Linked DNA regions of Arabidopsis thaliana. The protein of the gene in region 1 interacts with the protein of each later gene in a biochemical or structural test. Each region holds a gene or a part of one and is shown in the gene's direction. Other genes may lie near its edges.

What was found.
Region 2: of the proteins of IBR5 (region 1) and MPK12, one has a biochemical effect on the other in vitro, tested with the Arabidopsis thaliana proteins (one study listed by BioGRID).

The regions. Positions count from the first base shown.
Region 1 is NC_003071.7:1,586,285-1,591,450, forward strand, and holds IBR5 (indole-3-butyric acid response 5), read left to right. Parts: upstream 1-1,908; 5' UTR 1,909-2,253; coding exon 2,254-2,499; intron 2,500-2,759; coding exon 2,760-2,859; intron 2,860-2,931; coding exon 2,932-2,989; intron 2,990-3,106; coding exon 3,107-3,213; intron 3,214-3,291; coding exon 3,292-3,554; 3' UTR 3,555-3,882; downstream 3,883-5,166. Other genes in the region: LpxB (transferases, transferring glycosyl groups), read right to left, coding at 4,057-4,240, 4,341-4,567, 4,642-4,880, 4,990-5,059, 5,153-5,166. UniProt on the Arabidopsis thaliana protein: Required for the transduction of auxin and abscisic acid (ABA) signaling pathways. Dephosphorylates and inactivates the MAP kinase MPK12.
Region 2 is NC_003071.7:18,944,738-18,950,421, reverse strand, and holds MPK12 (mitogen-activated protein kinase 12), read left to right. Parts: upstream 1-2,354; 5' UTR 2,355-2,549; coding exon 2,550-2,818; intron 2,819-2,904; coding exon 2,905-3,034; intron 3,035-3,187; coding exon 3,188-3,325; intron 3,326-3,413; coding exon 3,414-3,746; intron 3,747-3,842; coding exon 3,843-4,026; intron 4,027-4,098; coding exon of another isoform or gene 4,099-4,121; coding exon 4,122-4,288; 3' UTR 4,289-4,485; downstream 4,486-5,684. Other genes in the region: BPS2 (BPS1-like protein), read left to right, coding at 1,062-2,105; AT2G46060 (transmembrane protein-like protein), read left to right, coding at 5,422-5,593.

The DNA.
Region 1 (5,166 bases):
GTATAATGGGCGTTCAATGTGGAATTAGGCGAATTTGTTGATTCGTGAATTGATTCACTGCAAATAAGCATCAAAATCAATCGATTTTGAACACCTAACATGACATATTTGCCTCTTTGTGCAGCTAGTCTTGTTGTCTCAGGAATATATCATCCACAAACATTAAAAAACAAGCGAATCTCTGAAATAATTGTAAGTCATGTCCAAGTATTTGAAAGTTTTGTAGATTTTTGGTGTTTTTATACTATAGATCTTCTAGTTTGTTTATTGTATTAGTTGTTGCTTTCTTTAGGGTTGGTATATAAATGGTAGAGATATACTCTGTTTGTGGAGAGTGTGAACAAAATGATAAGTTTTAGTGGGTTTTCTTGTAGACACAAACAAAGGTGGATCCCTTTGTGAGGTAGATGAGAATATCTCATTCAAGGGCTTAGTTGAGAGTGTCATTGAAGATTTCAGATTTGATCCGGTGAGCGACGAAGTCGTCGGGTTTTTCGAAGGCAAAGCTGTTGGATTTGGAAGAAATGAGATTAGATATTGTGTATTTTCTATATTTTATTTTAATTAATTTTTAGAGGATTAAAATTTTTGTGTGCTATTTGTACAAGTTTTAAAAGAATGTGTCATTTTTGCAATAATAAACCTTTTTAGTGTCATTTATGTCAATCTCCTATATTTTAACACTTATAGCGAATTATAAATTTACAAATTGTTACAAATAAGTGAATTATTTTTATGGTGGATATAAATATAAATAGTAGATTATTTTTAAACTTGTAAAGTGATCAAAATACTAAATAGTAAAGAGACAAAAGAGGAGAAAAATGTTTTATTACTTCTCTTGTAATTGAAATAATGAATGTCATTTACAACGATCGAAATCGTTTATGTAGACGTAAAAAAGTTAATTACTATGCATACATAATGACAATGAATTCTACATAATTTGCGTAACATTTATTATATATATATATGTACATATATTTTTGACGTTGCGAGAAGTCACATTTATTAAATTTTGTAAAATAAATAATTTAATTTCAGTTTCCCTTATCAAATACTGTTCTCGTATTTAATAAAGTTTAAATAACTTTTTACAAACTGTTCAGACCTGGTGAATATAGTGTCTTCTCCAACCGAATGGACGACTTTCTCAGAGTATTTGGAGGAATTACGGAACAATAAGAAAGAATTCACAAGTTTTTCTTCATCTTTAATTTTTGGTAGTGTAAATATTATAGCGGATTCTTTGACAAGAAAAATCCGTATCGAACCGCATCATATTACCTATGTAAACAACATTTCTTAGGAATGACTCTTTTAAGCTAAATTATTAGCGGTCGACAACAAAAATAAAAGAAATTTAAATAACTTTATTATTTAAACTTTTACTTTACCCTTTAAAACCAAGTTAACATAATAATAAGTATGAAATTAGCATAAAACAATATCCCTAACAGAATTAGCAAAATCCAATCATTAAATGGACTATATATGGAAACCTGCCTCTACAGTTGTTCTTGAGATCAAAAACATCCTCTGTTGTCACCTCGATCTCTTATCAAGAGCTCAACAGATCATCCGCCCATGTCCATCTCTCCTTGTCACTTGGTTTGGCGTTTTTCAGTAGAAGATTCAGTTGGTTTCTCTTCTGGACCTGGAGCCTTGTTTCGGTTTTTGGCATTTTGCCATCTATTTGGACATGCGGCCTAATTTCGGTTTTTATTGTGTATTTGGGCCTGTAACTTTATTTAAACGTTTTGTCATGTATATTGATTTAATATTATTGGAAATTTAAAATTAAATAAAAAAATGGACTATATACTTAAATAAAAAAAAAAAATTCTTTTTTATTTTTACTGTAAATCCTGAACAAAAAAAAAGAAAAGTAAATCTGCAATAAATGGCTCAGTTAACAATTTTGACTCAGTTAGAGATCCTCTCTCTCCCGTATCTATTACAGAACCTGTTAAACTGAGAGACTGTTTAAAGAAGATTTACATAAATCTAAACTCCACGTGGCACGTATCTATCCGAATCAGTATTAATCCCATCGAAGAAGAAAACAATTCTTCATACAAAAAAAACTCTCTTCTCAAGTCTCTCCTTCTTCTCCGTCCTTCCCAATTCTTCCGTTCAAACAAATTTCTCCAAACCCAAACCCTAATTTCCTCCGTCTGTGAAATCAAGGGTTTTCTCTGATCTGGGTTTTGATCAGAAATCAGATCTAGGTTTAATTTTCGAAATCAAATTATGAGGAAGAGAGAAAGAGAGAACCCTTGTTCGATTTGTGGGCATTACCATAAGTACGAGGAAGGAGAAGTATGTGGAGTCTGTGGTCACTGTATGCCTGTTTCTTCCGATACGGTGGCGCCGCAACAAGTCCACGTCAGTGCTTTTCCGTCGGAGATTCTCCCTGAGTTTCTTTACCTCGGTAGTTACGACAACGCTTCTCGCTCTGAGCTTCTTAAGACTCAAGGAATCTCTCGTGTTCTTAATGTGAGTTTCTTTGCTTTGATTTTGAATTCATGAATTGCTTTTGTTTTAAACATTGATGATGACCCTTAAGAAAAAGATAAGATCTTTGAATCTTTGAATCGGTTTGTTTAGTTAGGGTTTTGCCTTGTAGATGAATCTTTCTTATACTTATACGTTTTGTTGACTTATGGTTTCTGTTAAAGTTCCTGTTATGGTAATAGAGAGGAATGTGTTGTTTACTATTTGTTGGTATTGACTCTGTTTTTGTTACTCTGTTTCAGACGGTTCCTATGTGCCAGAATCTCTACAGGAATTCATTCACTTATCATGGTCTTGATAATGAAAAAGTTTTACAGTTTGATGATGCTATTAAGTTCTTAGGTATGTTGATTCTATCTCAAGTTTCTAGATTTCATCTTTATGATTTTTTCTTGACGGTCTTGCTTTGTGTAGACCAATGTGAGAAGGACAAGGCACGTGTTCTTGTGCATTGCATGTCTGGGAAAAGTAGGTGAGTACATTTATCATTCTCTTACTCTCATCCTAAACTTGCGGCTGCTTTCTTATGATTACCATTAATTATTTAGACTAATAGAGTGATATGTTTTGTGTTTCGATTACATGACAGATCACCAGCGGTTGTTGTAGCGTACTTGATGAAACGAAAAGGGTGGAGACTCGCTGAGAGTCATCAGTGGGTTAAACAACGGAGACCAAGCACTGACATAAGTCCAGGCAAGTACTTAGACTTTGGATTAGAAACTTACTTATTGTTCTTGAAACTGTTACTCATTGCTTTTTCTTTGTACACAGAGTTTTACCAACAACTGCAGGAGTTTGAGCAGGGGATATTCGGATCTGAGATGATGTCGGCGATGAATATTAATGATGCTCCAACGTTTGGGTTTGGTTTCCCTAAGATTGATAATCAAGCACAAGCTCCTGTGTTCAACAATGCTCCTACTTCTTCTATATTTTCATCTCCTGCTTCAAGTATCCCTCCTCAGGAGTTCACTTTTGGAGCAACTCCACCAAAGCCAACAACTGGTGGTGATATTGCAATGGATGGCTCTTAGAACCAGATAATCATATACTCTTGCAAGAATTTTCATCAACAAATATACTGTTGTGAGAATGTTTCTTTTTCTTTTTTGTACATGGAGATTGGTGCATTGCTTGAGAGAGTTTGGGGTTTGAGAACATGAGATTGGAAGCATCTTTGTCTGGTTTATTCCTCACTCTCCCACAATTCTGTATCGATCTTTACAGCGAAATATACTATTAAACCAGTTATGACAAGCCACACTAGTAGGATCTTATCTGTTTCTGCAAAGCAGATAAGCTTAGACATTCAATACTTTCACTTTATCCTTTTATGCTTTCGAAAGCCCTTTTTGACTGTTTGTCTTAGACTGCAAACCAAATAAGCTGAGACATTCTAATCTACATGGATCATTTCGCCTTTAACTGTAATTTACCATATGTTAGAACTCTTATGAAAAAAATTCAACCTTAGATTATAGCAAGTATCTCAGCGTACTCTAGTATCAAACAAAGGCATGTGACTCACGATAGTTTTTAACGCCTGGCATAACTAAGAATAGTCGAAGCTGCTAAAATGCTTGGCGTATATCGATGAGATTCCAAACCAGTGCAATGAATTGAGTTGCCCATTCTGCTTTCTGACGGATGCAAGAGCTGTATCAACTTCTCAGCACCAACAACTTGTCTTTCTCTCATCTTTTCATCCAAGAGTAGTCTCCTACAGTTTCAAACAACATCTCACGTCATCATCATGCCCATTTCTCAATTGCCAGATAACAAAATATAAAGTAAAAGTGGGTGAAAAGAAAAAGATATACTCTAGTATCGATGCGAGATTTGAAGGGTTACAAGCTTGAAACAAAGCTTCAGGAATGATTGGGGAGTCTAGGAGAATGTTTGGGAGAGAAATATAAGGTATCTTGGCTTTGTAACGGATTAATAGCTCTGTTAGAAAATGTGCTCGGTAAGCAACAAGGGAAGGTAGATGAGCAAGCTGCAACTCAACAGCAACTGTTCCTGAAGTGCATAATGCAGCCTGACTCGCCTGTTATTATGGAACACCGCAAAATGAGAGGAGTAAACAGATGAGACACTTAGAACGAGGTTTCAAAGACTTACGCCAAAGGCATCATATTTAAGCTGAGTGGATCCACTAGGGACTAGTATTGCTGGAACTGGCCACTCACTGAAGGATTCTCCAATGTAATGATCAACTTGATTATTGGATGCGACGTGGATAAGCGTTACTAGTTTTGGAAACGGATCTTTGAGTAGCTTCATTGCTTTGGAAAATATGGGTAGCATTCTTTCAACTTCTTGTAATCTGCTCCCCGGTAGAACCGAAATGACAGTGGAGTCTTGTTTCATGAAAAGTTATGCAATGCAGCAGAAGAACAATGAGATATCAATAAAAGTAGATATCCAATCTGTAGAAAAGTTAAATCATTTTGATAAACTTCACATTACCAGAAGGTATTGAGTGTTCGCTAAAACTCAAGCCTTCAAGTTTCAGTTCCTGAGGCTTGCACCTTCTCACCTGTGGCAGAAAAGAGCACCATTTCACTTAGAATTCTGACAGAGTGTCATAGAAACTGAGGTAATTCAAGAAGAAGAAGAAGAAAACGCATACAAGGTCGAACTCAG
Region 2 (5,684 bases), about 17 Mb from region 1:
AATTTTTTTGATGAGGATTTTACAATTTTTTAAAAAGCAAAGTACTACCAAAAATAATAATGAATCGTCAAAATTAATTTTCGATTAAATCTTCTCAGTTTTTATTTTTAAAAGTAATAACAGGAGTCTGTAGGACGTGGTATGTATTAGTTAGCCGTTAGATTTGGTTATAATAATTAAAATAAACAAAGACTACGCCAATCGACCAATGACTTATTTTATAATCCCACGAAATCGTCTCATTTTTGGCCCTTCGATAAAACTTTTAATTATTTTATAGCCGTCCACTTTCCGCTAAGAATTTAACTACACACAAGGCTGTGACCAATTAAAACGTAACAGCCATTCACTAATGGTATACTTGTAAGGTTGTAACTAGTTTTTATGTGACGGGCCGTAGCTTTATCAAACTCGACCTCCGCCAGACATTTTTCTCAGCCGATCGACTCAGAAAATTCAATGAAGCATTAGAAGAATCATTTCCACACGATTTTCCCTGTGATTTCTTCATTTCCGGCGACTTAAAACGGTAAGTTTCGTGGAAATTGAGTTTTTTTTTGTTATCTATAATTCTCCTTTTATTGTGTGTGTTCTTCTGTAAATCGAAGTTTGTGTGTTTAGTTCTAAGATAGATTTTACTGTTCGATGAAGAGTTTGTACCGAACTTCTGTGTTCAAAACTTCCGTGTAGATAATTAACTCCTAGGGTTCTTCTAATTTTGGAAAGATTGAAACTTTTATCCTAATTCCTTGGTTCTGGACATCTTCAAGTGTAGATTATGGCTTAGAACAATTGATTATGTGTTTGTTTTCATCTTCAAATTTTGATTTTACATCATTTCAATAAAGGTGGTAACTTCTTTTTTTTCAAGATCTCAAAAGTTGTCAGCTTTTTGGGACTCTTAAGGTTGGGACTTGGGATTGTATTGTTCCTCGATTAGTCCTTCTATGTGTGGCAACAACACAGAAGATACATTGAGTTCACAGCAAATCGGTTTGTATGATTAATCATTATCATTATTCTAACAATATTTCTCTTTTCATTTTCAGGTGTCTAGCAAAATGAGCCGACCACAAGATCCACCCCGAGGTTTCTTCCCATTTGGAAATCCCTTTCGGATGTTATCATCAAAGGGATCAGATTTATCGCCATGGCTACTTTCTCTATTGAACGGCTTTGAGCTACGTTTGGAAGAGAGACTGAAGAAACTTATGCCTAAGAACAAAGATGACATCCTCACTTTATCCTGGATGAAGCTAGCTATGGAGTCACTCTGCGAGACTCATAAGAACATTAACACTCTCATTACTGATCTCCAGCTTCCTGTCTCTGATTGGGAAGAGAAATGGGTTGATGTTTACCTCAACATAAGCGTTAGGTTACTAGATCTCTGTAATGCCTTTAGCTCTGAGCTCACACGTCTCAACCAGGGAGATCTCTTCCTCAAGTGTGTTCTGCACAATTTACAATCGGATTCTGGGGAGAAGTATCTCCAGGCTCGATCTTCGCTTGATAGCTGGAGGCAACATGTTAATACAAACAACCCTAGAATTGAAAACTGCCGTGCGGTTCTAGACAGTCTTGTTAAATCTCTGAGTCTGCCTAAAGTCAAGAACTCGCCTAAAGGAAAGGTTCTGATGCGAGCTTTTTATGGTGTGAAGGTTCAAACAGTTTATATCTGCAGTGTATTTACCGCAGCCTGGTCTGATTCCACCAAGGATCTTTTCGATTTACCTGTCTCTGAAAAACCATTATGGGCAAAGGTCTTTACTGATATGCAGAGTGTTGTAAATGCTGAGATCAGAGACATGTTGTCTTCCGGTAGAACCACGATTCTCAAAGAGCTGGAGAGCGTTGATGCTAGTGTCGAGAAGCTATACCCGATGATCCAAGATGGCGTTGATCCTGTCGAAGTTGAATTCTTCAAAGATAATGTTATGGAATTGGGGACACAAGCTGAGAAATTGTCTCAAGGGTTGGATCAGTTACTGGAGGAAGTTGATAGTTTCTTTAAACTGACTTTGAGAGGGCGCGATGTGTTGCTCTGTAATCTTAGGTCAAGTGACTCAATCTCTGGCAATGCAGTTGGAGAAGATGTAGACTAAAATAGTGAGGTAAACAAACAAGTTTAACCCTTACAAAAGGCAGCTTTAGGTTCTATAAATAGTGTTTTCTCTTTTTTCTTTGTTTTGAGTCCATCTGTCGAGCTTGTCTCTTCCGTTTAGGTGTGTTGGTCTTGTATGTGTGACTGTATGAAATCAATTCTGCAATAAAATATAAATATAGAATACATCTGTTTGGCTTGAAAAAATCACTGCTCTCTTTGTAGTGATCCAATCTTTCTAAACCTGTTTCAATCAAAGGAACAAATCAGAGGCTTTGATCTATAGTTAAGTGCAATTAGTAGTAACAAATGAAAAATGCAATATTGAGCTAATATCGAGTGACTCTGCTTCTTGTTACCATACACGTATGTAATCTTTCATGATCTTTAGATTCACGGGTCCCTTGAGAGATCTTTTACAGTTGAAAAAAGCTTCTCTCTTCACATGGATTTAGTGTCTTCAAGAGATACTTTAGGAGATCCTTCAACTTCAACAAAAGCCCTTCTTCTTGGTTTCTCTCGTTCTCGGTCTGATCATTGCATCATCATGTCTGGAGAATCAAGCTCTGGTTCTACCGAACATTGCATCAAAGTTGTACCGACACACGGTGGCCGCTATGTTCAGTACAACGTTTATGGACAACTCTTTGAAGTTTCCAGAAAGTATGTCCCTCCTATTCGTCCCATTGGTAGAGGCGCTTGCGGTATTGTCTGGTAAGTTCTTTTGATTCTTTGTCTGATAAATTATGAAAGCGTTCCTTCTATTGAATGTTCACAGGCTCTTGATTCTTGAATTTCAGTGCTGCGGTGAACTCAGTGACTGGAGAGAAAGTGGCTATTAAGAAGATCGGTAATGCTTTTGATAACATCATCGATGCTAAGAGAACGCTACGTGAAATTAAACTTCTCAGGCATATGGATCATGAGAACGTAAGCCTTAAGCATCATTTCTCACATTTGACAACATCTTTTAAGTTTCTCAAATTTGCTAGATCTATCAAGTGTTCCTGATCTTCAGGGTCAAATGCTCTTTATATATAATTTCGTTTACTCTAATCTTCAAGCCTCGGTTTGATTCTTTAGGTTATAACCATCAAAGATATTGTAAGACCTCCGCAACGAGATATCTTCAATGATGTCTACATTGTCTATGAGTTAATGGACACTGATCTTCAGCGAATCCTCCGTTCTAACCAAACACTGACCAGTGATCAATGCCGTGTAAGTCTCTGTGTTGTTCTAATCATTTGTAAAGTCATGGAACTCTCTGATTTGATCTTTATTCTATTTACTTGTCTTCCTGTTACAGTTCCTAGTATACCAGCTCTTAAGAGGGCTCAAATACGTGCACTCGGCCAACATATTACATCGTGATCTAAGGCCAAGCAACGTGCTACTTAACTCGAAAAACGAGCTAAAGATTGGTGATTTTGGGCTTGCAAGAACAACTTCCGACACAGACTTCATGACTGAATATGTCGTTACCCGTTGGTACAGGGCTCCTGAGTTGCTTCTTAACTGCTCAGAGTACACCGCAGCTATTGATATTTGGTCTGTTGGCTGCATACTCGGCGAAATCATGACGGGACAACCGTTGTTTCCAGGCAAAGATTATGTTCATCAGCTTAGGCTTATAACAGAGGTATACCAGTAAAGTAAAAAAAGCATCAGTTTTACACTTTTCTTAAACTGCAATGCCCAATTCTGATTTCACTTAATATCCATTTCTTGATATTAGCTTGTAGGCTCTCCAGACAATTCCAGCCTCGGCTTCCTTCGCAGTGACAACGCAAGAAGATACGTCAGGCAACTTCCGCGATACCCGAAACAACAGTTTGCTGCTAGATTCCCGAAAATGCCCACTACGGCTATCGATTTGCTTGAGAGAATGCTCGTCTTTGATCCTAACCGGCGCATCTCAGGTAACAAACAACACAAAGATCCTTAAAACATTCATGTGGTTTTTTGCAGTTTGCTTTTGGCTTATCAATTAGACCTGCATGTGTTGTGTGTGTAGTCGATGAAGCCCTTGGCCATGCTTACCTATCACCGCACCATGATGTGGCCAAAGAACCGGTCTGTTCGACTCCTTTCAGCTTTGATTTCGAACATCCTTCTTGCACAGAAGAACACATAAAGGAGCTTATCTACAAGGAGTCTGTCAAATTCAATCCTGACCACTGAGAGAGAAACATGTTTGAATGATTTGATTCCTTTTTAAAAGTCTGCTCCGTTTGGTTTGATCTAAGATTCCTTTATATTGAATCTAAACTCATTTTATCTTTGATTGAATAATTGCTATGATGATACACACATATTTATCCATATCGTAAGCCCCTGCAGAGCTCAAGTTTCTTTAAATCAAATTTCTTAAACTATTGATCATATATGATAGCATTTTAAAAAAATTCTGTTTACCAAAACAGAGTATTATGTGTAATAGTTCGTTTAGTAAAATTACAGTTTTTGAACTTATTGCCAAATAGATTGATCGGAAGTTGAAACCAAGAGTTTTGTCATTGTCTTGATCGGAAATATCACACGCCCACACAACGAAGCTTTCTCTGAAAAAGTACTAAGATATGTATGTATGTTGATAATTATAGTATTTTTCCTTTTGAAGAAAACAGAGAACAAATGTACTTTAATACCGTTGTCTAAGATTTTAAAACGCTGTCGTTGTCGATTATAAATTAGACATTGGCGCTAAAAGCCCATTAATATCAAGGCCCTCACCCCAATTAATTTAAAAGAAATTAATATCAAAGCCTTTTTGTATAGAGAGAGACAAAAGATAAAATATCTTTTTTTCATGGGCAGTTTCTATTATGGGCTTGGTTTGGCCTAATATATATCTGTTATTTTTCTGTTGTGGGGCATTACATAGTCCATCTAATGTTTTGTCTTGTTCAATAAAATTATCTCTCTTGTGAAAAAATAATATAAATAAGTTCCTATATGACTCTTGTCTCTGACCAACACGTACTATATTATTCATATAAACCAGATAAATATTAAACCGAATATCTAAGATCCTATCTCGCCGATATACCGTGTAAAAGACACGCGCCAAGATTCTTCATTACCAAAAATCCCAATCATTTAACAACCGTTCGATCAGCGCGTAACTACAACACTTCCGTTGCGGCGCGTGAGATAAAACTGACGAAAAATTTAACAAATGTAAAAAAAAAGTCAGTATTCAACAATCAAGACGACGAAAATTCTCTCGAGTGATGATGCTCTCTCTTCTTCTTCTTCTACTCACACTAATAAGAGTCTAAAACCCTTAATTCTCAGAGAAAGTTTCACCTACAATGGCAGAGATTTTGTTTCTGCTTTTAAGAACTCTCGTCGTGTTTTCATGTGCTCTTTCGATCTGTAATTGTCTTCAAGATGCTGCGGACAATAATGGAAACTTTTTCACGGTCTCGAGCTTCAGGTACCCTGAATCCGAAGTCAGACCCTACGATACACGTTACATCAGAGGTCTGTTTTAATCTGAGATTCAAGCTTTTTCAGCTGCTGAATGATGATTTGAAATTCAGCAAATGGAATTGGATTTGTTATATCTGATCAG